2 linked regions of the Lonchura striata genome follow. The protein of the gene in region 1 interacts with the protein of each later gene in a pairwise test. Links are inferred from orthologs where the notes say so. Each region holds a gene or a part of one and is shown on either strand. Other genes may lie near its edges.

Evidence for each region.
Region 2: the proteins of GTPBP3 (region 1) and PARP11 interact in binary tests that used the Homo sapiens proteins (3 or more experiments, as listed by UniProt). The two-hybrid records come from large-scale screens. The link is inferred for Lonchura striata from reciprocal best matches to the Homo sapiens genes GTPBP3 and PARP11.

Annotation. Positions count from the first base shown.
Region 1 is NC_134630.1:7,745,976-7,760,728, reverse strand, and holds the start of GTPBP3 (5-taurinomethyluridine-[tRNA] synthase subunit GTPB3, mitochondrial), read left to right. Parts: upstream 1-7,910; coding exon 7,911-7,930; intron 7,931-8,849; coding exon 8,850-9,142; intron 9,143-9,946; coding exon 9,947-10,033; intron 10,034-11,448; coding exon 11,449-11,651; intron 11,652-11,803; coding exon 11,804-11,876; intron 11,877-13,123; coding exon 13,124-13,267; intron 13,268-14,308; coding exon 14,309-14,474; intron 14,475-14,753. Other genes in the region: ANO8 (anoctamin-8), read right to left, coding at 129-267, 1,354-1,486, 2,300-2,410, 5,868-5,967. UniProt on the Homo sapiens protein: GTPase component of the GTPBP3-MTO1 complex that catalyzes the 5-taurinomethyluridine (taum(5)U) modification at the 34th wobble position (U34) of mitochondrial tRNAs (mt-tRNAs), which plays a role in mt-tRNA decoding and mitochondrial translation.
Region 2 is NC_134604.1:30,782,354-30,798,080, forward strand, and holds the start of PARP11 (protein mono-ADP-ribosyltransferase PARP11), read right to left. Parts: upstream 7,673-15,727; 5' UTR 7,577-7,672; coding exon 7,508-7,576; intron 6,106-7,507; exon of another isoform or gene 4,790-6,105; coding exon of another isoform or gene 4,763-4,789; intron 4,329-4,762; coding exon 4,200-4,328; intron 4,102-4,199; coding exon 3,981-4,101; intron 2,761-3,980; coding exon 2,685-2,760; intron 1,763-2,684; coding exon 1,690-1,762; intron 1,603-1,689; coding exon 1,472-1,602; intron 1-1,471. UniProt on the Homo sapiens protein: Mono-ADP-ribosyltransferase that mediates mono-ADP-ribosylation of target proteins. Plays a role in nuclear envelope stability and nuclear remodeling during spermiogenesis. Inhibits the type I interferon activated signaling pathway.

The sequences.
Region 1 (14,753 bases):
CATATCCCATATCCCATACCCCATATCCCATATCCCATACCCCATATCCCATATCCCATATCCCATATCCCACACCCCGTACCCCTCACCCCGTACCCCGTACCCCTCAGCCCGTCCCCGGGGCCCACCTGGGAGCTGAAGAAGCCGAGCTCGTTCTCGATGTTCTCGTAGATGTAATCCTCCTCGCAGGAGAAGCCGCGCATGCCGCCCCCGAACTCGGCCTTCACCGGCTTGCGCAGCCCCATCTCGTCCGCCCCGCGCAGCAAACTGGAACCCCAAAAACCCGCTCAGCCTTTGCATCTCGTCCACCCCACACAGCAAACTGGAACCCCAAAAACCCCGCTCAGCCTTTGCATCTCATCCACCCCGTGCAGCAAACTGGAACCCCAAAAACCCGCTCAGCCTTTGCATCTCATCCACCCCGTGCAGCAAACTGGAACCCCAAAAAACCCCACTCAGCCTTTGCATCTCGTCCACCCCGCACAGGAAACTGGAACCCCAAAAACCCCACTCAGCCTTTGCATCTCGTCCACCCCGCACAGGAAACTGGAACCCCAAAAACCCGCTCAGGCTTTGCATCTCGTCCACCCCGCACAGGAAACTGGAACCCCAAAAACCCCACTCAGCCTTTGCATCTCATCCACCCCGCACAGCAAACTGGAACCCCAAATCCCGCTCAGGCTTTGCATCTCATCCACCCCGCACAGCAAACTGGAACCCCAAAAAAACCCGATCAGCCTTTGCATCTCGTCCTCCCCGCGCAGCAAATTGGAACCCCAAAAACCCGCTCAGGCTTTGCAGGGATGGCACGTTCGTTCATTGTTACAGCGCCAGTGCGGGGACCTTTCCCCTTCAATGGACGTGTGCAAGCCCGAGAACTCCCACTCCTTTTTATCACCCTCAACTAATTACCCTTAATTAATAAATGAATTCATATAATTTCACAATAGGTTCATGCATATTCTTCTGCTGATGTCGACAGCTGGTTACATTTGTACTCAGCTTTTGTCAGAAAGTACAGAAAGAACTCCTGGGTCACTCTGAGCTGTTTCAAGGTCCGAGGAGTCTTTCTTATCTCTTATCTCTTATCTTTTTAGTGTGGAAATTTGCATTCTTGATGGAAATTAGAATTTGTGTAATTCTTAGCTGGGGCAACTTTGCTGGTGCTGCAGTTACCAGACTAAACAGCATACTTCACTTCTGTTAGCGAGCCCAAATTTGGATTTCACCTGCATTTAAACGGATTTCTACCCTGTTACATTTTCTGTCTGTCTCAACAGCACTGGGGACACGCGGGGGACACTCTGGGACACGCGGGGGACACGCGGGGGACACGCTGGGGACAGCACGCACCTCTCGTAGGTGGCGGTGACGAAGAAGGCGTAGACGCGCGTGTGGCGGTGGTGCCGCACCTGCACGATCAGCTCGGGGATGCCCAGGCGGATGTGGTTCAGCAGCCACAGCAGCGTGTGGTCATCCGTGCTGTCTGCGGGGACAGCGCCGCGCGTGTCCCGACACGGTGTCCCTGTCCCCAGCCTGCCGCGTGTCCCTGTCCCGGTCCCCAAACCCCCAGGTGTCCCTCATCCCTGTCCCCAAACCCCCAGGTGTCCCTGTCCTGGTCCCCAAACCCCCAGGTGTCCCTCATCCCTGTCCCCAAACCCCCAGGTGTCCCTGTCCTGGTCCCCAAACCCCCAGGTGTCCCTCATCCCTGTCCCCAAACCCCCAGGTGTCCCTGTCCTGGTCCCCAAACCCCCAGGTGTCCCTCATCCCTGTTCTCATCCCCCCAGGTGTCCCTGTCCCAGTCCTCACCCGTCCCCATGTCCCTCATCCCGCTCCCCATCCATCCACACATTCCCCATCCCTTCCCACACCCCCATCCCTCCTCACATCCCTCATTCCTCCCAAGATCCCACGTCCCCCTCCCGCCCCAATCCCCCATCCCCAATCCCCCATCCCCAATCCCCCATCCCCAATCCCCAATCCCAAATCCCCAATCCCCCATTCCCCATCTCCCATCCCTAATCTTCCACCCCCAATCCCCCATCCCCCATCCCCACCGCCACCTCCCGGGCTCCCCCCACCATCCCCACCCCCTCCTACCTCGGCTATCCCAGATTTTCCTGGGTACATCCCTATCCTGGATTCCCCAGTCACACCCCGAATCCCGGATTTCCCAGTCCCACCCGATCCCGGTTTTGCCGGTCCCACCCCAATCCCGGTTTTCCCAGTCCTACCCGATCCCGGTTTTCCCGGTCCCCCCCCGATCCCGGTTTTCCCGGTCCCGGTTTCCCGTCCCTACCCGGGAATGTCATGAGCACGTCGCAGTTCTCCGTGGGCACGGTTTTCATCCAGGCCTTGTGGGACATGATGTAGCGCCCGGCCTGGAGCAGCCGCTTCCCGAAGAGTTTATCTGCCGGGGGAGGCGGGCAGGGATCAGGATCCCCGGGCAGCGGATCCCAGACGGCCCCGGAGCCCCGGGACCCCGCGGGACCGCCCCGGGACCCCGCGGGACCGCCCCGGGACCCCGCGGGACCGCCCCGGGACCCCGCGGGACCGCCCCGGGACCCCGCGGGACCGCCCCGGGACCCCGCGGGACCGCCCCGGGCCGCCCCCAGCCCGGCCGTGCCGGGTCACGGCATCGGATTTCTCCTGCGGAAAATCCCCAAACCGGCACCGACAGCTGCGGGGAGGAGCCCCAACGCCGCGGGATGTCCCCTCGGAGCGTCCCCAAGGCTCTCGGCTCCTCCCGCTGCTCCGGGGGACGGCGAAGCGCAGCAGGAGCGGGGATCGGGAGCCGCAGCCGGTCTCCATGGAGACGGGGATGGATGGGGAGGGATGGGCACGGTCCCGGTGGCGGCGGCACCGCGGGGACGCGGCCGCCGTCCCCGGGCCCGCCGTCCCCAGAGCGCCGCCCCGGGAGGGTGGGGACAGGGGGGCACCCCAAAAAATCCACCCGCAGCTGGCGGGGACGGAGGTCCCCGATGGCGTGGGGACCCCCCGTTTGTCGCTTCCCCTCGTGCCTCAGTGTCCCCTCGTGCCTCAGTGTCCCCTCGTGCCTCAGTGTCCCCTCCTCGGCCGGGGACGTCGCGGTGCCCCAGGGCTGGGAAGGGCTCGGGGTGGCGGAAACCGCGGGGGAAAACAGGAAATGCCAGAGCCGCTGATGCCAGGGAAGGCACCCCAAACCCTCGGCTGGGAACCCCCAAACTCCGCGCCCCGCTGGGCTCTGAAAGGCTGCGCTGGCCCCGAGCTGCGGGTGGCACTTGGGGACAGCGCCAGGCTGCCAGCCGCCCCGCGGTGTCCTGCCCTGGGGTGCGGGGGAAATGGGGTGCCAGGGTGAGGGGCAGTGGGGTGCCCGGCTACCAGGGACTTGGGGTTTAGGGGTGCCAGGGTATCGGGATGCCAGGGGTATCAAGGTATTGGGTGCCAGGGCGCCGAGGTGTTGGGGTGCAGGTATTTCAGGGTGCAGGTATTTCAGGGTGCAGGTATTTCAGGGTGCAGGTATTAGCATGCCAGTGTTTCAGGCTGCAGGTATTTCAGGGTGCCAGTCAGGGTGCAGGTATTTCAGGCTGCAGGCATTTCAGGGTGCCAGTGTTTCAGGGTGCCAATGTTTTAGGGTGCAGCTATTTTAGGGTGCCAGTGTTTTAGGCTGCAGGTATTTCAGGGTGCCAGTCAGGGTGGAGGTATTTCAGGGTGCCAGTGTTTCAGGGTGCCAATGTTTTATGGTGCAGCTATTTCAGGGTACCAGTGTTTCAGGGTGCAGGTATTTTAGGGTGCAGGTATTTCAGGGTGCCAGTGTTTCAGGGTGCCAGTGTTTCAGGGTGCCAGGCCATCGAGATATGACCCTGCGGGGCTACCAGCATGCCCGGCGGGCACAGGGCGCTGGTGGCAGTGGCACAGGGCGCTGGTGGCAGTGGCACAGGGTGCTGGTGGCAGTGGCACAGGGCGCTGGTGGCAGTGGCACAGGGCACTGGTGGCAGTGGCATAGGGTGCTGGTGGCGCTGGCACAGGGCGCTGGTGGCGCTGGCACAGGGCACTGGTGGCAGTGGCACAGGGCGCTGGAGGCAGTGGCACAGGGCGCTGGCACAGGGCGATGGTGGCAGTGGCACAGGGCGCTGGTGGCCCTGGCACAGGGCACTGGTGGCAGTGGCACAGGGCGCTGGTGGCGCTGGCACAGGGCACTGGTGGCAGTGGCACAGGGCGCTGGAGGCAGTGGCACAGGGCGCTGGCACAGGGCGATGGTGGCAGTGGCACAGGGCGCTGGTGGCGGTGGCACAGGGCGCTGGAGGCAGTGGCACAGGGCGCTGGCACAGGGCACTGGTGGCAGTGGCACAGGGCGCTGGTGGCGGTGGCACAGGGCACTGGTGGCGGTGGCACAGGGCGTTGGTGGCAGTGGCACAGGGCAATGGTGGCAGTGGCACAGGGCGCTGGCACAGGGCGATGGTGGCAGTGGCACAGGGCGCTGGCACAGGGCACTGGTGGCGGTGGCACAGGGCGTTGGTGGCAGTGGCACAGGGCAATGGTGGCAGTGGCACAGGGCAATGGTGGCAGTGGCACAGGGCGCTGGTGGCGGTGGCACAGGGCGCTGGTGGCGGTGGCACAGGGCACTGGTGGCGGTGGCACAGGGCGCTGGTGGCGGTGGCACAGGGCACTGGTGGCGGTGGCACAGGGCGTTGGTGGCAGTGGCACAGGGCAATGGTGGCAGTGGCACAGGGCGCTGGTGGCGGTGGCACAGGGTGCTGGTGGCGGTGGCACAGGGCACTGGTGGCGGTGGAGGCAGTGGCACAGGGCGCTGGTGGCGCTGGCACAGGGCACTGGTAGCGGTGCCACAGGGCGCTGGTGGCGGTGGCCGTGCCACCCTGCCGGGCAGCCGGGTGACGCGGCCGGGCTGAGCTCACCCACGCTGCATTATTCATGTCCTGCCCGCAGCGGTGCCACCCGGCGCGGGCACCCGCGGCACTGCCACCCGCGTGGGGCAATGCCCGCCCCGGGGCACAGAGCCGGGCCCGGGGGGCTTTCCCTGCCCAAGGTCACGGGGAGCGGGGGTCCCCAGCACCCCCGGGCTGGCCCGGTTTGGGGGTGACCGCCACCCGCCGTCCCCGCAGCCGCTCCCGACGCGCGGTGCCACCACCCAAGCGGCGCCCGGGGCTCGGCGGGGCCGGCGCGCCCTGTGCCACCCCCGGGTCCCCCCCGCTCGTCCCCGATTGCCGCCGGCCGTGCCGCTCACCTTGGCTCCCGGGCTAAGGTCACCGGAGCTGCGGCGTGGCGGGGACCGGCGCGGCCCGGGACCGAGCGGTGTCCCCGGGGGGGGCACGAAGTGGGTCACCCACCCGCGCCGGGAGCCCCGCTCGGTGGCACGGCCGCCACCGGGCCCTGCCGCCCGCCGCGCCGCGGGGACCCCGAGCGGGGGACGGCGGGGGAGGAGACCCCCGCGACAGCGTGGGGACAGCGACACAAAGGCTGCCAGCTGCGCCACCCCCCGCGGGCCGGGGGCACGGGCCTGGCCGGGGACAAAACCTTCCCGGGGCGGGGGACACCGGGGCCGTGGCGATGTCACCGGTGACGCGGGGACACCGAGCCCGCTGCCAGCCCCATCCCGGGGGGGCTCGGGGCGGGGGGGGTGACACAAAATCAGCCGCGACCACCGGAGAGCCACAGACCCCCCATGAGGCGGGACCCCCACGGGCGGGGGGCTCGGAGCCGTGCCGGTACCGGGGGATGCTCAGAGCTCCACCGGCAGCACCGACACCGCCCCCCCCCCCGCCCGGGGCGGTCCCGGGGAGCCGCATCCGCAGCGAGCCGCATCCCGGCCCGCCCCGTGCGCCCTCCCGGTTCTCCCGCAGCCCCCCCGCAGCCGCCGGTTCCCGTACCCAGCACTCCGGTGGGGGCCGCCGGTTCCGCTCGCTCCTCCGCGGCCGGGGCCCGCCGGGGCCGCTCTCCGTCCTGCGCCGCGGCCGGCGGCTCGGGCATGCTGCGGGGCTCGGCGGCGGCGGAGCGCGCCGGTGCATGGGGCCGCCGGGGCCGCCGGGGCCGCCGCTGCCGCCGCCGGGGCCGCCGCCGCTGCCGGTGCGGGCGGGAGGAGGAGGAGGAGGAGGAGGAGGAGGAGGAGGGACAAAGGCGGCGGAGCGGAGCGCGGGGCTCCCGGCGCCTTTAACGCCCCGTTCGGCCACGCGTGTCCGGCCGCGCCCCGCGTGGGGGGGTCCCGGGGGGATCGCGGGGGGCGGCTCCGCCCGGCGGCGGCACCGGAGCGAGCCCGCGGCGGCACCGGAGCGTCCCCCCGGTGCGTGCCCCGGCTCGCCGTGCCCCTCCGCCCCGCCGCGCTCCGCCCGTGCCCGCCGCCGTGCCCGGTGCCGCCGCCGTGCCCCCGGTGCCCCCCCAGCGCCACCCCCACCCCGCCGCTCCCGGTAACCCGAGCGGGGTGAGCGCCGCCCGGTGACATTTCGGGTGACCCCCCCATCCCCCCAAACCCCCCCAAGGCTCGGAGCCCCCCCGGCTTGTGGGGACCGGGGCCCGGTGCCAGCCCGGCCGCTCGGTGCCACCGGGGAATGCCCCCGCCGCTGGCGCCGCGGCTGGCACGGGGGGCACGGGGACACGGGGGACACGGGGACACGGGGACACGGGGACACGGGGGACACGGGGGACACGGGGGGCACGGGGGGACACGGGGGGAAACGGGGGGAAACGGGGGGAAACGGGGGGCACGGGGGACACGGGGACACGGGGGACACGGGGGGACACGGGGGACACGGGGGGCACGGGGGGACACGGGGGGAAACGGGGGGCACCGGGGGCACCGGGGCCGGTCCTGTCCATCCCTGCCTGGGCCCCAGCCTCTCCCAGTCCGTCCCAGTTTATCCCAGTCTGTCCCTGTCTGTATCCCTGCTGGAAGCCGAGCCGAGATTTTGGGAATCAGGACAGAGATAGGCATAATAATAATAATAATAATAATAATAATATAGCCACAAGAGGAAATTAAATATATTGGTTTGATCTACAAGATGGCAAGAGGACAAGTCAAAGGTTCAAACCAAGCGAAAGAACATCGAAATGCAAAGAAATCTTTTAATATAAACTTTTATAAATATGCATGTCCCCCCCATAATGGAACAGTCCATAGAGAATGTGCTTTGAGTTAAATAAATATGAAACGATTTTATACATAAATAAATTATATCTATTTAATAGAAACTTACCATAATAATATTTAATTGATATTATTTTTATATATATATAAATATAAATTCAATACATTTATATTTATTTAATTTAAACCACGTTCTCTATAGACTGTTCCATTACAGGAAGTACATCTATATGCATATTCATACAAATATTTGTATGAATATATATGCATATATGGATGTTTATTAATAAAATAGTTATTAATTAAATAAATAAAATTAAATAAATGTATTGTTATTTTAAAATAATTTAATTTAATATTATTTATTTTTTTAATAAATAAATTAATTAAAAATAAAATATCAAGCAAACAGCCGAGCACCCCAGAGCTGGATTTCACCCCTGAATAAACTTTTATAAAATGAAGACATTTTATTTAAAGATAAATAGATATTAAATTTTATAAGAATTTCAACAGCGACTCGTGTTCGCCACCGGGACGAGCCCGCGGGCCGCGGGCAGAGGGACCCGAGGGGCCGGGCGGGACCTCGCTCCGCGCGGCTTCACGGAGGGCGCCGCCGTGTTTGCACATTAACCAATCAGAGGCCGCGATTCACCGTTAGCCCCGCCTATCTCTGTGTATTGACCAATAGCATGCGTTATCGGGCCAGGGCGCTGAGGCCGGTGCGGGATTTCACCGTGGGTAGCCACGCCCACTCGGTGGGTTTGCCCAATGGCGTGCCGCGGTGGGCGGGGCTTGGCGGAGGGCAGCGATGGCGCTGAGCGGGGCCATGAGGGCAGCGCGGGGCAGGTGAGGGGACAGAGGGACAGAGGGACAGAGGGACAGGGAGGGACAGAGGGACAGGGAGGGACAGGGAGGGACAGAGGGACAGGGAGGGAGAGAGGGACAGAGAGGGGACAGAGGGACAGAGGGACAGGGAGGGGACAGAGGGACAGGGAGGGACAGGGAGGGGACAGAGGGACAGAGGGACAGGGAGGGACAGAGGGACAGGGAGGGGACAGAGGGACAGAGAGGGGACAGAGGGACAGGGAGGGACAGAGGGACAGGGAGGGGACAGAGGGACAGAGGGACAGGGAGGGACAGAGGGACAGGGAGGGGACACGGGGACAGCCCCGGGGTGGCGGTGCCATGGGGGGGTACGGGAATGGCTGAGCCGGGGGGTTTGGGGGTACCTGGGGAGGGAATCGATGGGGAGGGGTCTCACCTGGGTAGGGTCTCACCTGGGCAAGGTCCCACCTGGGCAGGGTCTCACCTGGGGAGGGTCTCACCTGGGGCGGGTCCCACCTGGGCAGGGTCTCACCTGGGGCGGGTCTCACCTGGGCAGGGTCTCACCTGGGCAGGATCCCACCTGGGCAGGGTCTCACCTGGGCAGGGTCTCACCTGGGGAGGGTCCCACCTGGGGAGGGTCTCACGTGGGGAGGGTCTCACCTGGGGAGGGTCCCACCTGGGCAGGGTCTCACCTGGGCAGGATCCCACCTGGGCAGGGTCTCACCTGGGCAGGGTCTCACCTGGGCAGGATCCCACCTGGGCAGGGTCTCACCTGGGGCGGGTTCCACCTGGGGAGGGTCTCACCTGGGGCGGGTCCCACCTGGGGAGGGTCTCACCTGGGGCGGGTCCCACCCGAGGCCAGGTTCCCTGCCCACGGGGGTCGCGCCCCCTCTGTGCCCACCGGGGGGGTCCCCATAACGACCCCAACCCCCTCCCCCAGGTGGGCGCGCACGCTGAGCTCGGCGGTGCCACCCGCGGGTGGCACAGGTGGCACGGCAGGTGGCACGGCAGGTGGCACGGGTGGCACGGGTGACACCATCTTCGCGCTGTCCTCGGCGCCGGGGCGCTGCGGCGTGGCCGTGATCCGGGCCAGCGGGCCGGGCAGCGCGGGGGTCCTGCGCAGCCTCACCGGGACCCCCGGGCCGCCCCCGCCCCGGGTCCTGGCCCTGCGCCGCATCCGCGACCCCCAGAGCGCCGAGACCCTGGACAGGGGCCTGGTGGTGTGGTTCCCAGGTGGGAAATGGGGCTGGGGGCGTGGGGAGCGGTTCCTGGGTGGGAAATGGGGCTGGGGGCGTGGGGAGCGGCTCCCGGGTGGGAAATGGGGCGTGGGGAGCGGTTCCCAGGTGGGAAATGGGGCTGGGGGCGTGGGGAGCAGTTCCCGGGTGGGAAATGGGGCTGGGGGCGTGGGGAGCGCTTCCCGGGTGGGAAATGGGGCGTGGGGAGCGGTTCCCAGGTGGGAAATGGGGCTGGGGGCGTGGGGAGCAGTTCCCCGGTGGGAAATGGGGCTGGGGGCGTGGGGAGCGGTTCCCGGGTGGGAAATGGGGCTGGGGGCGTGGGGAGCAGTTCCCCGGTGGGAAATGGGGCTGGGGGCGTGGGGAGCGGTTCCCGGGTGGAAATGGGGCTGGGGGCGTGGGGAGCGGCTCCCGGGTGGGAAATGGGGCTGGGGGTGCGGTTCCCAGGTGGGAAATGGGGCTGGGGGCGTGGGGAGCGGTTCCCGGGTGGAAATGGGGCTGGGGGCGTGGGGAGCGGTTCCCGGGTGGGAAATGGGGCTGGGGGCATGGTTCTCAGGTGGGACAGGGGATGGGGACACAGATTTGGGGGGCAGGAATTGGGGGTTGTGGGCAGGAATTCGTGTTTGGGGGCAGGGTTTGGGGACACGAGTTTGGGGATTGAGGACACGGTGCTGGGCTTGGGGACACGGGTTTGGGGTTGGGGGACAGCTGCTCCTGGGGCAGGGTCCCCCCAGGGGCCGTTTTGGGGTGTGGGGAGGGGGTGCCGGGGGTCTGGGGGTGCCCACCCGGCCCCCTGTGCCCGCAGGGCCCCACAGCTTCACCGGGGAGGATTGTGCCGAGCTGCACGTGCACGGGGGGCCCGCCGTGGTCAGCGGGGTGCTGCGGGCTCTGGGTGAGCCCCGATGCCCTCCTGATCCTGTTCCACCCTCCTGATCCTGTTCCATTGCTCCTGATCCTATTCCATCCCTCCTGATCCTATTCCATCCCTCCTGATCCTGTTCCATCCCTCCTGATCCTGTTCCATCCCTCCTGATCCTATTCCATCCCTCCTGATCCTGTTCCATTGCTCCTGATCCTATTCCATCCCTCCTGATCCTATTCCATCCCTCCTGATCCTGTTCCATCCCTCCTGATCCTATTCCATCCCTCCTGATCCTGTTCCATCCCTCCTGATCCTATTCCATCCCTCCTGATCCTGTTCCATTGCTCCTGATCCTATTCCATCCCTCCTGATCCTGTTCCATCCCTCCTGATCCTGTTCCATTGCTCCTGATCCTATTCCATCCCTCCTGATCGTATTCCATCCCTCCTGATCCTATTCCATCCCTCCTGATCCTATTCCATCCTTCCTGATCCTGTTCCATCCCTCCTGCCCCTGTTCCATCCCTCCTGATCCTGTTCCATCCCTCCTGATCCTATTCCATCCCTCCTGATCCTATTCCATCCCTCCTGATCCTGTTCCATCCCTCCTGATCCTATTCCATTGCTCCTGATCCTGTTCCATCCCTCCTGCCCCTGTTCCATCCCTCCTGATCCTATTCCATTGCTCCTGATCCTGTTCCATCCCTCCTGATCCTGTTCCATCCCTCCTGATCCTATTCCATCCCTCCTGATCCTATTCCATCCCTCCTGCCCCTGTTCCACCCTCCTGATCCTATTCCATCCCTCCTGATCCTGTTCCATCCCTCCTGATCCTATTCCATCCCTCCTGATCCTATTCCATCCCTCCTTCCCATATTCCATCCCTCCTGCCCCTGTTCCATCCCTCCTACCCCTGTTCCATCCCTCCTTTCCCATCCCATCCTGATCCTTTTCCTCTTCCCCTCGGGATGCCGGGTGCTCCTCCTCCGTCCCTCTTCCCCCTTGATTTTGGAATCCTGGGGGTTCTGAGGATCCTGAGGGATCCTCCCTTTCCCCCTTCCTTTGGGATGGGGTCCGGGCTGATCCTCCATCGCTTTCCCCTCCCTTTGGGATGGGGTCCGGGCTGATCCTCCATCGCTTTCCCCTCCCTTTGGGATGGGGTCCGGGCTGATCCTCCATCGCTTTCCCCTCCCTTTGGGATGGGGTCCGGGCTGATCCTCCATCCCTTTCCCCTTCCTTTGGGATGGGGTCCGGGCTGATCCTCCATCCCTTTCCCCCTTCCTTTGGGATTGGGTCCGGGGTGATCCTCCATCGCTTTCCCCTCCCTTTGGGATGGGGTCCGGGCTGATCCTCCATCCCTTTCCCCTCCCTTTGGGATGGGGTCCGGGCTGATCCTCCCTCCCTTTCCCCTCCCCGCCCATGCCCCTCTGGCCGCCGGCTCCCCAGGCCGCCTGCCGGGGCTGCGTCCGGCCGAGCCGGGCGAGTTCACCCGCCGGGCGTTCGCCCACGGCAAGCTGGACCTGACGGCGGCCGAGGGGCTGCGGGACCTGATCGGGGCCGAGACGGAGGCGCAGCGGCGCCAGGCGCTGCGGCAGATGGAGGGGGACCTGGGCCGGCTCTACCAGCGCTGGAGCCACGCCCTGACCCAGGTGGGGCTCGCCTGGGGCCACCGAGCTGCCTGGGTGGCCACCGAGCCCGCCCGGGGGCCACCGAGCCCGCCCGGGGGCCACCGAGCCCCCTGGGTGGCCACCGAGCCCCCTGGGTGGCCACCAGCTCAGGGTGACTCTCACCCCAACATCAGGCGCTCGCCCACCTGGAGGCCTACATCGACTTCAGCGAGGATGACAACGTGGAGGAAGAGGTTCTGGCCCGAGGTGAGCCCCGCTGTCCCCTCTGTCCCCTCTGTCCCCGCTGTCCCCACTGTCCCCTCTGTCCCCTCTGTCCCCGCTGTCCCCTCCTGTCCCTGCTGTCCCCTCTGTCCCTCCTGTCCCCGCTGTCCCTTCTGTCCCCTCCTGTCCCCTCTGTCCCCTCTGTCCCCTCTGTCCCCTCTGTCCCCGCTGTCCCCGCTGTCCCCTCTGTCCCCTCTGTCCCCTCCTGTCCCCTCTGTCCCCTCTGTCCCCGCTGTCCCCACTGTCCCCTCGGTCCCCTCCTGTCCCCGCTGTCCCCGCTGTCCCCGCTGTCCCCTCCTGTTCCCGCTGTCCCTGCTGTCCCCTGTGTCCCCTCTGTCCCCGCTGTCCCCTCTGTCCCCTCTGTCCCCTCTGTCCCCTCCTGTTCCCGCTGTCCCCTCTGTCCCTCTGTCCCCTCTGTCCCCGCTGTCCCCTCTGTCCCTGTGCCACGGCTGTGTCCCCACGCTGTGACACGGGGAATGGGGACATCCAGGGGGGCTTGTCCCATCCGCCTGCTCCAAGTCCTTGTTTGTCCCCCTGAGAGGGACAGGGGATCTCTCCCGGTGTTTTATCCCAGATTTGGGGATCAGGCCCTGGGGTCTGTTCCGGTGTTTTATTCCAAATTTAGGGATCAGGAGACCAGGTCTATTCCAGTGTTTTATTCCAGATTTGGGGATCAGAACCTGGGGTCGCTCCTGGTGTTCTATCCCAAATTTATGGGTCAGGACCTGAGGTATCTCTCAGTGTTTTATCCCAGCCCTGGGGTCTCTCAGTGTTTGATCCCCGATTTGGGGCTCGGGCCCGGGTCTCTCAGTGTTTTATCCCAGCCCTGGGGTCTCTCAGTGTTTGATCCCCGATCCGGGGCTCGGGCCCGGGTCTCCCGGTGTTTGATCCCCGATTCCGGGCTCAGGCCCTGGTCTCTCAGTGTTTTATCCCCGATTTGGGGCTCGGGCCCGGGTCTCCCGGTGTTTGATCCCCGATCCGGGGCTCAGGCCCGGGTCTCTCAGTGTTTTATCCCCGATTTGGGGCTCGGGCCCGGGTCTCCTGGTGTTTGATCCCCGATCCGGGGCTCAGGCCCGGGTCTCCCGGTGTTTGATCCCTGATCTGGGGTCTCCCGGTGTTTGATCCCCGATCCGGGGCTCGGGCCCGGGTCTCCCGGTGTTTGATCCCCGATCCGGGGCTCGGGCCCGGGTCTCCCGGTGTTTTATCCCGCGCTGAGCGCCGTGTCCCCGCAGTGGCGGGCACCGTGCGGGCGCTGCTGCAGGAGCTCCGGGGCCACCTGCGGGACGGGCGCCGGGGGGAGCTGCTGCGGGGGGGGGTCCGGGCGGTCATCGCCGGCCCCCCCAACGTGGGCAAGAGCAGCCTGCTCAACCTGCTCTGTGAGTGGCCGTGGGCACGGGAGGGCACGGCGGCGCTCCCGGGATTCCAGAGGGTGGGGTTCCGCTGTCTGCGCGTGGAGGGGCTGGGATAATTCCCAAAATTCCAGAGGGAACCATTCCCAGTGTCCCCAAGGCCATCGTGTTGCCCGTGGGTGTGGAGGGCACGAGATAATTCCCAAAATTCCAGAGGGAACTGTTCCCAGCGTCCTCAGGTCACGCACAGCAGGGACTGGGCGTGGAGGGCTCAAAATTCCCAAAATCCCACAGGGACCATTCCCTGCTGTCCCCAAATCATGGAGGGGTTGGGATAATTCCCAAATTCCCACAGGACCATTCCTGATGGCCCCAAGTCACCAATGGACACGGAGGGTTGGGATAATCCCCGAATTTCCTCTGTCCCCACATCCCCCACGGGCATGGAGGGTTGGGATAATTCCCAAATTCCCACTGTGCCCACATCCCCCACGGGCACGGAGGGTTGGGATAATCCCCGAATTTCCTCTGGGCACGAAGGGTTGGGATAATCCCCTAATTTCCTCTGGGCATGGAGGGTTGGGATAATCCCCGAAATTCCTCTGTCCCCACATCCCCCACAGGCACGGAGGGTTGGGATAATCCCCGAATTTCCTCTGGGCATGGAGGGTTGGGATAATCCCCGAATTCCCTCTGTGTCCACATCCCCCACGGGCACGGAGGGTTGGGATAATCCCCGAATTTCCTCTGGGCACGGAGGGTTGGGATAATCCCCAAATTTCCTCTGGGCACGGAGGGTTGGGATAATCCCCGAAATTCCTCTGGGCACGGAGGGTTGGGATAATCCCCAAATTTCCTCTGGGCACGGAGGGTTGGGATAATCCCCGAAAGTCTTCTGTGCCCACATCCCCCACGGGCACGGAGGGTTGGGATAATCCCCGAAATTCCTCTGTCCCCACATCCCCCATGGGCATGGAGGGTTGGGATAATCCCCGAATTCCCTCTGTGCCCACATCCCCCGCGGGCATGGACGACCCGGGACAATTCCCGAATTCCCGGCGTGCCCAGGCCGGCGCCCGGCCGCCATCGTGTCGCCCTCGGCGGGCACCACGCGGGACGTGCTGGAGGTGGCCCTGGACATCGGGGGGTACCCGCTGCTGCTCAGCGACACCGCGGGGCTGCGCCGCGCCGCCGACCCCGTGGAGCGCGAGGGCGTGCGCCGGGCCCGCCAGCGGTCAGCGGGGGTTTGGGGGGGTTTTGGGATGGTTTGGAGGGTTTTGGGGTGTCACGGGGTGTTTTGGGGGTTTTGCAGTGTTTTGTGGGGTTCTGGGCTGTTTTGTGGGGGGTCGTAGGGTGTTTGTGGGGTTTTGCAGTGTTTTGGGGTGTTTTGGGGAGTTTCGGGGAGTTTCGGGGAGTTTTGGGGTGTTTCAGGGAGTTTCAGGGTGTTTTGGGATGTTTCAGGGAGTTTCAGGGAGTTTTGGGGTGTTTCAGGGAGTTTCAGGGTGTTTTGGGG
Region 2 (15,727 bases), on another chromosome or scaffold:
CACATCTGTCTACCAGCCCAGGGTCTGGGTGCCCAGCTAACAACTGGTCTTACTATTAATGCCTTTGTTGCCTCAGTCTTCTCCTCATCCTTTTACACTGTTTCCCCCTTATCCAGCAAAAGATGGAGATTCTCTATAGCCCTTCTTTTGCTGATGACTTATTTTAAAAAAATATTTTTATTGTCTTTTACACCAGTGGCCAAATTAGGTTCTAGTTGGGCTTTGGTCCTTCTGATTTTCTCCCTGCGAAACATCCCAACATCATTTACTTCTTCTGATTTGCCTGCCCCTTCTTTCCAAGGTCATAAACTCTCTTTTTTGTCAGAATTACAGCCAAAATTCTCTGTTCAGCCAGGATGATTTTATTCCTCAACTACTTGTATTTCAGCACATGGGGACAGCCTGCTCCAGAGTCTTTAGGATTTCCCTCCTGAAGAGTGTCCAGCCTTCCTGGACTCCTCTGCCCTTCAGGACTGCCTCACAAGGGACTCTGTCGAACAATCTCCTGAACAACCCAAAGTTTGACCTCTGGAAGTCCAAGGCAGCAGTTCTGCTGACCCTCTTCCTTACTCCATCAAGAAAAAAAGGAAACTTAACTGAAAGTAGGATAACTCTCTTAACCATTAACATATATAAGGAATTTCACTTCCTCACACATGTTGATACAGTTTTAAATTAACAATAAATTACATATATTTTTTAAAAATCGTTTAACTTATGCAAGATTTTAGTATACATCTGTTATTTGTTATTTGATCACTCTTTAACTTAGTCTAGATTATTTTATTAGAGTAAAACATCTTTAAACCTTCTGATATGCACTCCTTCCTACAAGATACATAAATAACTTTTGTCAAGTACAATTGCTTAAGACTGATGCCAAAAAATAAGTGGATACCAAACTGGGCATTTCCTGCTTCTTCCAGGCCAGCACAATATGAAGAGGGAAAAGCCGAGAACTTAGAAGACGGTTTAGCAGGACATTAAACTTAAAAGAATTGCATGAATATGTGTTCATTAGACACCTAATTCTGTCCTATGCTTTTCTCCTATAAAATTGAGAAATTTAACAAGACTGAAATATTAATTTGCTTTGTTCAGTAAAAATTAAAATAATACAAGCCTCTCCAGGAATCATTTTACAAAAAGCTATTTTTTTCTCCTTACTTCACTGTAAGGATCATGGGCATCTATCACACAGATATTCTGAACATCTTAAACATATTATCTGTGCTACAGCTTTATCTAACGCATTTCTACAAATATTACATTTCTGCACCTGTAGAAGCTATACAGTCTTAAAAATTAAATTTTAAATAAAGAGAAACTACAAAGAAGAAAATTTTTAAAAGTTAAAAAGTAACAAAATATTTCATTAGTAATAAAAACAGTTAAACATATTTCTGCTGCATGACTTAAAACTTTTCTCCATTAACAATCCTAAAACTGTTGGTTTTAGAAATAATCTCACCTGCAAAAAAACTCCCACAAGTCTAGATTTTGTATTCTCTTAATTCTTTTAATTCGGTGGCTATCCATTGTTTTTCCAAAGAGACTAGAAACTTCATTATATTCATTTGTTTTCTTTTGCAATGGAATAAGCTGGAAAAAAAGAGGTTAGTGCGATTTCAATTCAATGCATTATTTCATTGTCACATGTTTTTGACCAAGTTGCCTACCAACTCTTACCTGGTATGGCTCCTCAGTATTTACATTCTCCCAATGTGAAGGCATAGGGATAGCCTCATTTTCACAGATGAAACTTCAAACAAAAAAGGTAAAAGCACATCACTTCAAAGACATGAGGCATTTTCTTCCTGTCAAACTCCTGCTCCAAACAAAACAGTATGCAAAAAAAGCAAATCCCCATGAAGTTTATACAGAGCTACTAAAAAAGAGTGGTTTAAGCACATGCACTACATATATTGAAGCTCTTAAGCCTTAAAACTGGGACTAAAAGAAGGAATCTCCTGAAAGTAAAAAATGTCACCATATGGAAATAAGAGTGCTGATGCAATTATTCAAAGAACAAAGAAAATTTCTACATCATTGTATGCACTATTTAGCAAATATCGACTGAAAAAACGTTGGCACTTCGAAAACAAAGTCTTCTTGAAAGTCAGTGTAAACAGATTGCTACTACATTTCTTATGACAAATGACAAATTTCTTTTTGAATGTATAACCACACTACAATTCAGAACTAAATTTTTTCTCAGAAACTATTTGGGGAAAAACCCACACATATCCCATGTACTCAATTTCACCTGTGATAGTAACACTGCATAGCTCAGTTTATTTAGCAGATTCACATCAGCTCAGCTTTACATCTAATGACTGATGAAATGGTAAGAAATTGACTATCTAAAGCAATTAGACTCATAAAAGAATCTTTACAACACAATTTTTTAAACTCCATTTTAGAGTAAATGAGTAAAATATAGGCACAACATGTAAGTCAACCTCTTTTTGATGTTACAATAATACTTCTAAATAATATATGGAGTCAATGGATTCCATTTTTTGGTGCTGTTTCCCTGCAGCAATTCTGATTCAACAGGTATTCAGAGCAACTCCAAAAACAAATAAATATAAAAAAAATCAAGATAAAACAGTTTGGTTTCATTCTACTTAGAAGAAGCAGGAATAAAAGAAAAATAAAGAGTCTTCCTCTTATTTTCTTACCTGAATGAATTGATTGCAAAGGGAGCTCGCTTTATTGGACGTTGTTTAAGGGTAGTTAGGTTGATTTGTTTCATCACTGAGCATAAAAGAAGAATTAGGATGAAATTTTTGGGAATTCATCTACAGCATATGAAACATTTAAGTATCATTTTTTAAAATAATGTTACTACACCCTAAGCTACTTGACAGGAATTCCTACTTCAACAAGTAACAAATCAGCATTTTCAATAAATGTTTCTAAATGCATTGTCATCTATATGAGTTGGAAAAATGTCCAAATATTACACATAGAAAACATTTATTTTTAAAATATCTATCTAACATTCAGCCCCACTGAATCACAGGAAGAAATTCCACTGACTTGAAAGGGATGACAAAGAATACACTATCCTTAGTGTAAGACATCATGGCCTAAAGAGAGTAATATAAAAATTGTTCTGTAACATTTGCTTATAAGTGTAGTGTTTTTATTCAGGATACAAAACACAGTTTTTTATAAAAAGACACAAGTAAGCATAAAACTCGTTGTGGTATTGCTAGATACCACCTTACTCCCAGTATATTGCTGTTTTACTCAGTCCCCACTTTATGTATTTGAAATTTGGATACATATATTGGAATATGTATTTATTTCCTTAATTTCCTATATTTAAGCATATAGCCGTTTTGTAATTTAATCAGAAAACAAACCATTTATGAATATAAAACTAAAACAAAAGTTACTAGAACACACCTTTGAACACAGAACAGATTACATTTATAATTAGTTACATACATTAGAAACATGTAATACTCTGTAATTTACAAGCACAGCATAAGGGAGATCTTTACAATATACTAGTAAATCCTTTTGCGTATCTCCTTGTTATTCTGAGAATAGAACTGGCTTCAACTACCTGCTGAATTATTAAATCATTTTGATGCCAGTATTTTGCAGGAAACCTCATTTACAATGGAAGAGGTTTTTCAAGTTTACAGGCAGTTGCACATGAAAGAAAAAAGGTTCAACCTTCCCAGTTCAAGAGATGTATCCTACATGCCACTTGCAGCTGGAGCAAGCAGTAGGAAATCCAATGGAGTGCTATTAAACAAAACATGCTACTTCATTAATAAACTACACAAAAAATGTAACAGGGCAGCTGTTTCTAAAAACTCCTATGTACCTTCCAGTAAAGAAGACATTCTTAATTGTGTTTTCGTACCAGATATGAGGACAATAACCTGCTGAATGAACAAATGTGCTGGTGTATCTGAGACCTTCTGCTGTTTAAATTTACTCTTCTGCAAGACACATACCTGAAAAGTCCAGTGTGTAGTTAAACTTTGCAGTGGTAAAAGACAGAGATCCATGGGGGTCTGTTCGGAAACTCCTTTCAATATCTTCACTGCTGATACTGCAGTGACTGTTTGAGTCGGTCTTCAAAATAAAAGAAAAAGCACGTTAAGACAAACTCAGCCATAGGTAATTTGATGTATGGAATCCATCAGAGCCAATATAACTTCATAGGTATTTACCTGAAACATATGCCATTTACCACACTCAGCCAAATAAAACCAGCCCCACTGGGTATCGGAGGTATCCATGTCTTCAACTGAACTTTCCACCTTTGCAAACACATCTTCTGATGGTCCTTGAAGCATTTCCTGAAACATTCACACACATACACAGAAAAAAAAAGTTTAGAGAAACTTATAAAACTAGCAAAATAAAGAGCATTTGCAATAACTACCAAAAAAAAAAAAAAAAAAAGAAAAAGAAAAAGAAAAAGAAATCCTATCAGGCTGAGGACAGATCTGTTCTTGCTTTTCCACAGAAAAATTCTCAATTTGCTACTTATCCAGTATTATCCTTTAAATTAGCTAAATACTTTCAAAATCTTAATTGTCTGTAAAGTGTGACAGTAAAGGCAAGAGCTATAACCTTTATGTGATCAGAGAGAGGTGCTAAATTTCATACTGATGGTTGTAGGATCAAGGCCACTCAGAAATATACAACAGGCTCTTCATTCATACTTCTCAAGAATGAGATGTTGGGGTTACATCCAACAGCTTGATGGAAACACCTACTAGGTACTCACCAGAAGTGAACAGATCAGACTGGACATCAATAGTTGTAAGAAAACAAATTAAGACAAATAATACATTTATTTAACTGTGCAAGACCACAGTAGATTATTCCTTTCCATTGCTTGAAAAAATTTCTCCCCAGTGCACCCACTTAAAAATGGCACAGTAAAATTCCTGATACTCTGTACTTGTATTTATAGAGAAGGTTCACACAAAGCAAGACTGGCTCCCACACAAGCAATGACTACCACAGTGGGGATTCTGAAGGATGGAATAAAAAAAAGAACTGAGGAAAGGATACAGCACAGGTCTACAAAATCATGACAAAACCAAATAGGGAATGAAGAATCATATTTTCTTCTGACATATGGAGGAGACACCTATTGAAGGCTGCACATGTCAAGTTCAAAGCAAGTAAAAGAAAAACTTCATGAAACAGATGGCAACCTATGGAACTTCTTTTCATGTTATGGAAGTTCAAAAAGTAGCTAGGCAAGTTTAAGTCTACCTAGAGCTATACCAGAATACCTTTAGAAGAACAGTCCCTGTCAGAATTCAGCTTATTCTTGGTTTGTCAATAAAATTCTAAAAACTCTGAAAGTGCTCACCCCTATTTGCATGTATTTCCTAATGTGTCAACTTTCTGCAACAACCTCCCCAAGCAAAAATTCTAAGAAAGTTTCAGGGAATCTTCACAGAGAAAAAATTTGCCCCACACCCAGAAAAGGTTGGTCAGCAATTCATCCACTCTAACTGTTTAAGCAAAACACTTTGGCACTCTTATCCAAATATGTCCTCAAGTTCACTTTTTCTTCCAAGAAGTGAAACAACATCCTCCAGCACAAGTCAAACAATGTGCAGTTAGCATCCTGGATGTTTCAGTTGTTTCCTGGTCACTTCAACCCAGAAAAAAATAAAGACCTGAAGAAGACAAATACAGGATACTAAAAGTAGGCATCCCTGTTCTGGCCAGTGCTATTGGGGCAGCAGTTCAGAGCAGGAGGCACTTCTAGCACACCCTTCACCCCCCATTTTTCCCCAAGCTAGTTGTGTTTCTGTAGTTGTTTGGAAAAAAAAAAAAAATCTGAGAAACCTCTTTGTGATAATAGCTAGTGGCTGTACTCTAATCACCAAAAGCTCCAAATGGTTACAAAAATCCAAATGCATCGAGAGCAGGGGAATCATAAGTGGATCTCCAAAACATCACCAAATTGCAGAATCTGAGGGCAAACCTATTTCAGTGAAAATGAAAGCCTACCCAAGGCTCCGTGTATGGATTGCTACCTCAAATTCAAGCAGCACTACACAAAAGGTTCATCAGCTGCACAGAAAAATTATTTTGAAAGAGATAAGAAAACCATTCTCTGCTTCAGAGGGCATCTGTCAACATCTCTTCTTTTACCCATAGCAACACAGACACAGAGCCTACATTCCCTGGGTGTTAAAACCACAACTGGCCAACACCTTTTGGTGGAAATCTTTCACCTTCAATTTGATTTTTCCTCTTGGATAAGTATTTGACTATGTTCTATCCTACTGAGAGCAGGCAGAGGTAGGCTGCACTTCTTTAAAGCTGAGGAAAGCAACACGGGCTTTTCCTGGTAATGTTTTGTTTCCTCATGTTCCCGTTAAAGTGGTGAGCTCAGCTTCCCCCCACACCCCAGCATTAGTTCAGTGAAACCAATGATGCCTTTTGAACAAGAGGACATGCCTGTACAAGCAGAGAAGGCATGATTATCTGTGCCTGACAAGACACTTAGAGTCCTCCAGGGGCATCTCAGCCTCCAGAATAAACCATTTACTAAGGAGATAGTTATTCCCATGGCTTTCAAAAATATGACATTCAACCTACATATATTACCCTCATTACAAAGTCTGGGGTAAGCAGGTAGTAGATTCCAGGATACTTTAAAACTATGGAGGAAACATCTGAATGCATGAATATGTAAAGCCGTAAAAACAAGTGAACTGTTCTCAAAGATGACACAAATCCAAAATATTTGAAGGAATTACTGACTAATTCAAAATAAAATGCACACCATTTATAAGCATTAGGTAGCATTTTGAGAATGGTCTCAACTCCCATCATCAGCACTGCTCCTATTGGTTCAGGAGCTACCAGAACAGCTCAAACAAATTTCTTAGGAAAAACATCCTCCTAAAGAAGAACAGTGCTCGTTGGGCGCTGTGACTGAATGGCTTTACTACTACTGGCCATGCACTTCCTCTTTTTTCCATAAGTACTTTATGTTTTCCTGATATACATCCGTTACAGTGAGCAGACTCAGAGAATGTTTTGGGTTAGAAGAGAACTTTAAGACCATTTGGTTTCAATCACCCTGCTGGACATGGACACCTTCCACTAGACCAGGTTGCTGGCCTTCAACACTCCCAGGGACGGAGCATCCACAGCTTCTCTGGGCAACCTGTGCCAGGTCTCACCACCCAGATGATGACAAACACAGCAGCGTCCCAATGGACTACTCTGTCTGGATTCCTGTGCTGCCTGCTCACTTGGCACACCGTCCTTTATTGCCAAAGGCTCTTGTCCCTACAGACATCGACTTGGAGCAGCATCCTGCCGGGAGCACAGGCAGTGCCGAGGGAATCGCTGGAACACGCCGCCTGGTGAGGAGACTTGCCTGAGGTGAGCCCGCAGGGCTCGGGAGGGGAGGCGAGGAGCAGGACCAGCGCTAGCACCGGCACGGGGCACGCGGTGCAATGACAACGCCCTTCCCACCTGCGCCCCCACGCACCCGCTCCGTGCTGCCGGGGGCCGCCGTCGCAACCACACCCGTAACCGCGCCCGCCGGAGCCGAATCCATGGGCGTTCAAGGGCACGGCCCGGCGAGCGAGCCGGGCACGGAACCACTACGGCTCCATGGGGCGCGCAGGCCGCTCCCACACACGCAGCGGCCGGCGCCGCCCACCCCCGCGCCCAACCGGGCGGCGCTGCGCGGCGGGCGGGGCGGGGCGGGCGGCGGCCCGCGGGGCGCGCGGGGGGAGGGCGCGGCGCGGGGGGAGGGGCGGCGGCGGCGGCCGTTCCGCCCCGCCCGCACTCACCGCAGCGGCCGCGCGCGCCGGGCGCGCTCCCGCAGGCCGCCCGCGCCGCGCGGGCCGGGCGCGCGCGGGGCCCGCTCCGCTCCCGGCGCTTCCGTTTACCGGCGGCCGCGGAGGGCGGGGCCAGCGCCGCGGCGGCCGCGCCCCATTGGCCCGTCGGGGGTGGGCATGCAAATAAAGGCGGGGGCGGGGCGGGGCGGAGCCGCTGTCGTGACGCGCAGGAAGGACGGGGAGGGCCCAGGCCCGCGGCCTGTGGCCGGTGCCGGTGCCGGTGCCGGTGCCGGTGCCGCAGTGTCAGCACCGGCACCGCAGAGTGCCCACCCCAGCACCGCTTCCCGCCCCAGTGCCAAAAACTGTCCAAACCCCTGTCCAGTACCAACACCAGTACCAGGCCTAGTTCCAGTGTCATCACCACTGCCTGTGCCAGTGCCAGTTCCAATCCGAGCACCAGTCCCTGTTCCAGCACCAGGCCCAGTTCGAAAACTCGTCCGAGTACCTGTACCAGTATGAATACCAGCCCCAGTGGCAGTGCCAATACCAGTACCTTTACCAGGCCCAGTCCCAGTTTCAGCATCCCCAATTCCAAAACTAGTCCAAGTACCTTTACCAGTACTAAAACCAGTACCAGGCTCAATTCCAGTCCCAGTCCAAGCACCAGTACCAGTGCTAGTACCAGCAGCAATCCCAGTTCCAGTCTCACTGCCAGTACCAGTACCGGTAGCAATCCCAGTTCCAGTTGTGGTGCCAGCAGTTGTTCAGGTACCTCTCCCTGTACCAAGTCCAAGGTACCAAGTTCTGGTACCTCTCCCTGTACCTGCACGAGTACCAAGGCCAGCTCCAGTCCCAGTCCAAGCACCAGTACCAGCACTAGGACTGGTAGCAATCCCAGTTCCAGCTCTGGTGCCAGCATGTGTTCAGTACCTCTCCCTGTAGCTGCTCGAGTCCCAGGCCCAGTCCCGGTATCAGTGCCAGTCTCAGTTTCAGTTCCAGGGCCAGGACCGGTAACAGTAACCGTCCCAGTGCTGGTTCCAGTACCAGTACCGGTGCCGGTTCCTTGTGCTACCAGAACCGTGACACCGTGCTGGTGCCAGGCACGGCACAGAAGTGACCATCACACCGTGCACGGCGTAGGTCACACGGAGCAAAGAGGGCAGCACTCAGAGCATGCTGCAGGCGCTCAGGACCCATGAGCAGCTCCATGCCACAGTGAGGTCTGGAAGCAGCAGCAGCAGCAGATCTGGGACCAGTTAGTAAGAGAAGCCACAGGGCTGAGCACAGATAATGCTTTTGTGCTGACATTCTAGGAGGGGAGCTGCTGGGTGGAGAAGCTGGCAGTGACACCAGCTACAGCATTCTGCTGTCAGGCAGTGGCCTGGTAACTTCCAAAACACAGTCAGTCTTCATATATGTGTGCAGTCATTGCAGCACATCCTGCAGTGAAGGGTTTTCATTAGTAGCATGCCAAGAACAACACAGGTGGAGTGAAAATGATTAATTTCTCCAGTTCTGAGGGAGTGTCAAACAGGATGTTTACCCAGATTCTGGCTGTCCTGACCTTGCCTCTGAATACAGAGTTAGAAAAGGTTGTCTATTTGAGTTAAAAAGTCAAGCAGCCCATGGTGAATCACTGGAGGTAATTCACTGGCATGAATATAATGCTTCTGGAATAAAGGAGTTTTCTGGAGGTAGAGCCATCTTTTTCAAGTTTTTTTATTGACATTGTTGGAAATCACATGAAGTTTGTTGGGACATATCCTGCCTTGCTTTATGGATCTATACAGAGGCTAGAAGCAAGGAAGAACTCTGTTACCACCTTTGCTGCTGAATGTCTGTTGAACATCTTTTTTTTAATTAAAATATGCTGACAATGCTTTAAGTCTAATGTGAGCCTCTTTGAATCATTTATTTCTATTGCTAATACTGTCTGTTGTGTATTTTTGAAATAAGGGTCATGCTTTTTGCAGAATTTGTGTATGTGCAGTTACAGTAGCACAACTCACAGCTTTCTAGCAGCCAGAAGTTTTAAAGGAGTTTCTGCTGCTATGCCTTGAAGTGTGGGATAGAGTTGAGATTTTTTTTTGTTGTGTGTTTCTTCCCTTTCTTTGTATGCTTAGACTGATAATTAATAATGGAGCATAAACCTCTCTTGAGATAAGAATGTCTTCATTGCATTGAAAACACAGCCTGTTATGAGACTGTATTCTTAGGAAGCTACATGCGAATGCCAGACTTCTAATGGCAACAACAACATAAAACCCTTTCAAATCCAAATATTTCTGTGGCTATGTGATGTACTGTGTGCAGACTAGCAGCCTGTCTGAAGAAAACGTAACTGCATTAATTGATTTTCATCAGCCTCTACTTCAAGCAGCAAAAAGGCAGAAAGTGGAGAGGTTTGGCCACATTACTTGAGTTACAAACCCGCTCTCACAGGGAATGGTCAAATAGAAGTGAAAGAGAGAACTCCCTGGTACTGCCTGGTACATAAATTGTAGGATCATGGAAGAATTTAGGTTTGAAAGGACTGGTGAAGTTCTTTAATCCAGTCTCCTTACCAAAGCAGGCCTTACTTAAAATTTAGATTAAGTTGCTCAATTCCTCATTCAAACTTTTTTTTCCCCCTCTCCAGGCATGTCTTCTGAGCTGTTTTCAAGGGCAAGAAGCTTTTGTCCTTCTGTCTATTCCAGAATTTCTTGTATTGCGACTTGTGCACATTGACTCTTTCAGTGTAACCCTGTGAGGTGAGCTCCCTCAGTCTTCCTGGCAGTACCTTTCCCTGGGCAAGAAAATAAGCAGGCACAGCGTCTCCTAGCTGGTGGAACCTACCTGAAACAGAGGAAAATTACAGTCAATTACCAGAGGATAGTGCTTCTTTAATTGTATCAGGCAGGGGATTAAAAGAGGATTCAAGTGGGAATGCACCTTGGTCATCTCTGAGGAGGGCCACAAAGGTGTTCAGAGGGCTGGAGTACCTCTTTTCCATAGACAAACGGAAAGAGTTGGGGCTGTTAGCCTGGAGAAGAGGTGGATCCAGGGAGGCCTCATTGTGGCCCATGGAAGTGTTCAAGGATGGGTTGGGTAGGGCTCTGAGCATCCTGGTCCAGTGGAATGTATCCCTGCCCATGGGAGGGGAGTTGGAACTAGATGATCTTTAGGGTCTCTTCCAACCCCAACTGTTCTATATGATCTCACACAGCCTCCTGTTTAAATCAGGGTCAACTATGAGATCATATAACTTTGTTCAGAACTGTTCAGAACCAGGTCTTGAAACCTATAGGGACACAGACCGCACAACCTCTCTAGCCAACCTCTTCCAGTGCTTGATACTTGACTCTCATCAGTGTAAAAAAACTTCCCCTATATCCTCTCATCACAGATTAAGCCTTCTACCTCTTCTCCTACCACCATGCACTACTGTGAGGACCCTGGCCTGGTCTTCTTAACCTCTGCAGAAGGAATCTTCTGTTGGAATATTGCAGTTAGTTGCTCTCACCTGAGCCTTCTCCAGGCTAACCAAGTCCAGGTCCATCAGTTTCTCCTCACAGGGCAAGTGCTCCAGCCTCCTGAGTGTCTTGGCGCTCCTCTGCTGAAATTGCCTCAGTTGATCAATTTTATCAACCTTTCATATATTGATGAGCCTCAAGCTGGATGCAGTATTTTAGATGGAGTTTAAAAAATCCTAGTATTCCTTTCTTTTGAGATCCTGAATATGGTCCTGCTATTTTATAGGGTGCAGTTGTCTTCTGCTGCCTCCAGGGCACACTGTGGGATCACATCCAGCTTTCCATCTACCAGGACCAGAATTTCAGAATAGCTGCTCACCATTTCCTAACACATATTGTTGCCGGGCATTAGCTCTTCCCAGTTGCAGAATTTTGCCTTTGTCCATTTTCAATTTCATATGGTGCCTCTGACCCCACTCCTCCAGCTTGTCTGTGTCCTTATGAAGAGCTGCTCTCTGCCCTCGAGTGTATCAACTAAGAAAGGACAAGGAACATAAACTGCCATTATACCTTCTCCAAGAGGGGCAAGTGGGTTATTATTTGGTATTTGCCATTTCATAATAGATTAATTTTTAATAATCAGTGTAATGTTACATATATGCGACTGAATGATAATGTAAATGCCAACATTAACTGAAAGTAAGCAGAAACCAAACAGAACAACCAAAGAAGGAATAAAATATAAACATGCCATGCCCCCAAGACCCCCCAAAATAGAACAATTACTGCACTATGAAAAGAAAATACTGACAGTGTTTTGCAACTTTTCGGAAAACATTAAGATTTTATTGTGGTCATATGTATTGCAGCATAAAGGAAATTGTAGGATGCATGTGATAGCTGTGGTATCCACAAACTTGTACACTCGCAAATGCAGTTGCCCAGAGGCAAGAGAAAAGATTGAGGAAATACTCTGCTTATTACAGAACATCACACCTGGAGGTCATGGCTGTCCACCTCAAATATGGCATTGGTCTTGAGATGTAGAGGAATCTGTAGAAGAATATTATTTTACATTCTTTCCTTGAAAGTCTACATCCTCTAGATTTGTTGTTCAAGGAGCTGTTAGACGTGTCAGGTGATTTTTCTTAACCTGAGTCTCCTGCATCCTTCTGTTTGCGAGAAGATCCTTTCCTAGCCCTGTTCCTGCTGTGCTTTCCCCAGCTATGCCTATTCTGCACTCTCTGGGAGATGGAAAAGGTCTGGGAACATCTCAGTTCTTCCATGTTTTTTTTTTTTTTTTTTTTTGTTTTTTTTTTTGTTTTTTTTTTTGGTTTTTTTTTTTGTGATACTGAATGAAAGCCATTGTCCCAAGCAGTACATGTTCTACCCCTCATTAATGGAGACTAAACCCCACACCCTAGAGACTTCCTTGTCTCCTTTCACTTTTCTTTCACATTCCTAGATGTTCTTTTCCCTCCTGGTTGTCTCACTTTCATATTCAATACTTCACTATACTTGGTTGCTTAAAATTGCCAGTTGCCTGTCTCCTTTTATGAGCAGGCTGAGCTCCATCATCCCTGGATTTTTTTTGTTATTGTTGTTTTGTGGGGTTTTGAGGGTTTGTTTGTTTGTTTTTGTTGCTGTTGGTTTTTTGGAGTATTTTCTGCAGGGAGGAGGAGTCCAGGAAGTTTCCAAATCTTCAGGCGACATTAAGAGACTTTAAATACAAATAGATGCACTTGTAGCAGCTGCAGAAAGCAGAGAGCTTTTAGTTTGTTTCTCTCTGGAGATGAACATAGAAGACCCACGAGGAAGAACACTTTAATACCTGCACCAATTTTTGACTCCTACCTTTTCTAGGCTGGCACAGCATTGCTAACTGGAGCATTGCATAATGACTGTTTACCTGAGTCAAACAGAGAATGAGATATCCTCAAAACCAGTGACTCTGCCGGCACCAGATTGCTCAGGTATGACACATGAACAGCTGCATGGGGCTGGTTCTCATTGCCCCTGCAGTGCTGCTCCCTCTGTGTTGTTCTAATGACTGAACTTTACTCATCACCCTACTTCCTTATGTCATGATTTAGGAGAGACAGGTGTCTGCCCAGGAAGGCAGGAAGCTTCTGGAAGTGGAAAATATGACCCGCTTCCCTCCAAATTATTAAAACGTTGAAATAACAGGGCTTTCACAATGAGATAAGGGAAAGGGAATAATAGATCTTTACTATAATATATATAACAAGGCAAACAAACAACACAACAGCACCAAACGAAGCCAGGAACCAAGGGAAGGGAAGGGAAGGGAAGGGAAGGGAAGGGAAGGGAAGGGAAGGGAAGGGAAGGGAAGGGAAGGGAAGGGAAGGGAAGGGAAGGGAAGGGAAGGGAAGGGAAGGGAAGGGAAGGGAAGGGAAGGGAAGGGAAGGGAAGGGAAGGGAAGGGAAGGGAAGGGAAGGGAAGGGAAGGGAAGGGAAGGGAAGGGAAGGGAAGGGAAGGGAAGGGAAGGGAAGGGAAGGGAAGGGAAGGGAAGGGAAGGGAAGGGAAGGGAAGGGAAGGGAAGGGAAGGGAAGGGAAGGGAAGCTGTATGGTGCTGCATTTCAGATTTGTAACTAAACCAAGCCCTGGTAACATACCTCTGTTCTGGCTATTTCTGAGCACTGCTTGCACAGCATCAAAGCTTTCTCTTACACCCACTCACCCCCCTCAGGAGTATTTAAGAATTTGGAGGGGACACAAGCAGGACAGCCTGACCCATAAGATACTGTATGCCCTACAATATCATACACAGTAACAGAAATTGAGGAAAGAGAGATTTTGGGAAGGCAGCTGTTGCTCAGAGACTGACTGGACATCAGTCTGCTTTTGCATCAGTTTTTTTCCCTTCCTCTTTCCTTCAGTTAATAAACTGTATTTATCTCAGCCTGTAAGTTTTCTCACTTTTGTTCTTCTCATGCTGCTGTGGTTTTCAGGGGGGAGTGAGCAAGATAGTGTGTGGTCCTTAGCTGTGGGTGAGGGTCAACCTGCTACAAACTGAGAAAAGAAAATCTCTGGAGTCTCTCTGGTGTTCATACAGTTGGGCTTCCACACAGCTACAGCATGTTCCCATACTCAAATGTGCACACACACATGCATCTGAGCTGTAATCCATGTACTCACCACCCCACTGTTTACGTCAGGATGCTCTGAACTGCCAAGGGATGCAACACAACCAGCTGCATCTGCACCATGCCTGAGCCAGTGCTGGGACATTGCTTGGAGATGCTTTCTACAGGTACAGAGGCACCCATCTACTGACTGGTTTATAGCTGACATGACCTCCTGATTGCAGGGAGGTCAGACCTGGGGCTGTTGCAAAGAGCACGAAGGCATGTCTGGACTCTGGCCTGCTCCTCCAGGTGTGTGCCAGTGTTACTGTCAAGGGAGACCTTAGGCACACCAAGAGTGGCTACAGGGCACTGGAGCCCAGGCACTGTTCTCCTTGGTCCTGCTAGTGGAAAGGTGAAGCTTGGGCAGGAGAGCCTCCAACCTGTGGGTTAAGACCTGCCTGCACAGCCAGTGTTGCAGACAGAGGCTTTTATGGCAATGGACCCCTGCTTTGAGGAACAAGGACAAGAGCATGTTTTCCAATGGGCTTTCCAGCCCAACTGGGAAAGCCTGCCCTAAGAATAATCTGCATGCAGTGGGGTTCTTCTAGTGTCTCTCCTTTTGTGACCTTCCAGTGGTACTGTGGGCCCTCCTTGGACTCTTTTTAACATCTGCTTCTTTCTTGGTCTCTCTGAAGCTACTCTGTGCTCTCTCAAGGTCCTTTCAGTCTTTCTGCTGTATTTTCTCATCTCTCCAAAGCTACTGTATGATTTCTGGATCTCTTTCTTGCCTACCTTTTTCCATCCTTCTGAGGCTAGTCTTTGTTATCCTTCACATTTGTAGACCATGTGCTACTTTCTTCTCTGAGGTCCTCCCCTGCTTTCTTCTAATCTCTCAGTATCTGCAAGGCTACTTTGTTATTTGGGACTCTCCCAACCTCACCACTTCTTCCCTAGCCTTTCCAAAGCTGCTTTGGCTGACTTTAAGTTTCCTCCTTCTTCTCACTAAGGGGATTTTGGAGGACTTTCAGTCTTTCTGCTTGTTTCATATCCTACTCACCCTTCACCCCCTCTTTCTGAAGTTTGACTGGATTATCTGGGGCTGTTTTAGTCTTCCTTCAAGGTTCATGGCATCAGCGGCTTCGCTTCTTTCTCCTGGGACTTTTTCAGCCTTCATTCTTGTTTCTTCCCTTCTCCAAGGCTATTTTCTGTTGCTCTTTTAGCCTCTCTCCTCTCATAAGCTGCAGGCGTACACTCCTAGGGCACTTTCAGAATCTCTGATACTTTCTTGTTATTGTTAAAGTCTCTTGTGTGTTCATCATAGTTCTTTCAAGCTTTCTACTAGTTACTTTGCCTCTTTGAGGCTACTTCGTGTTCTCTGAGTTTT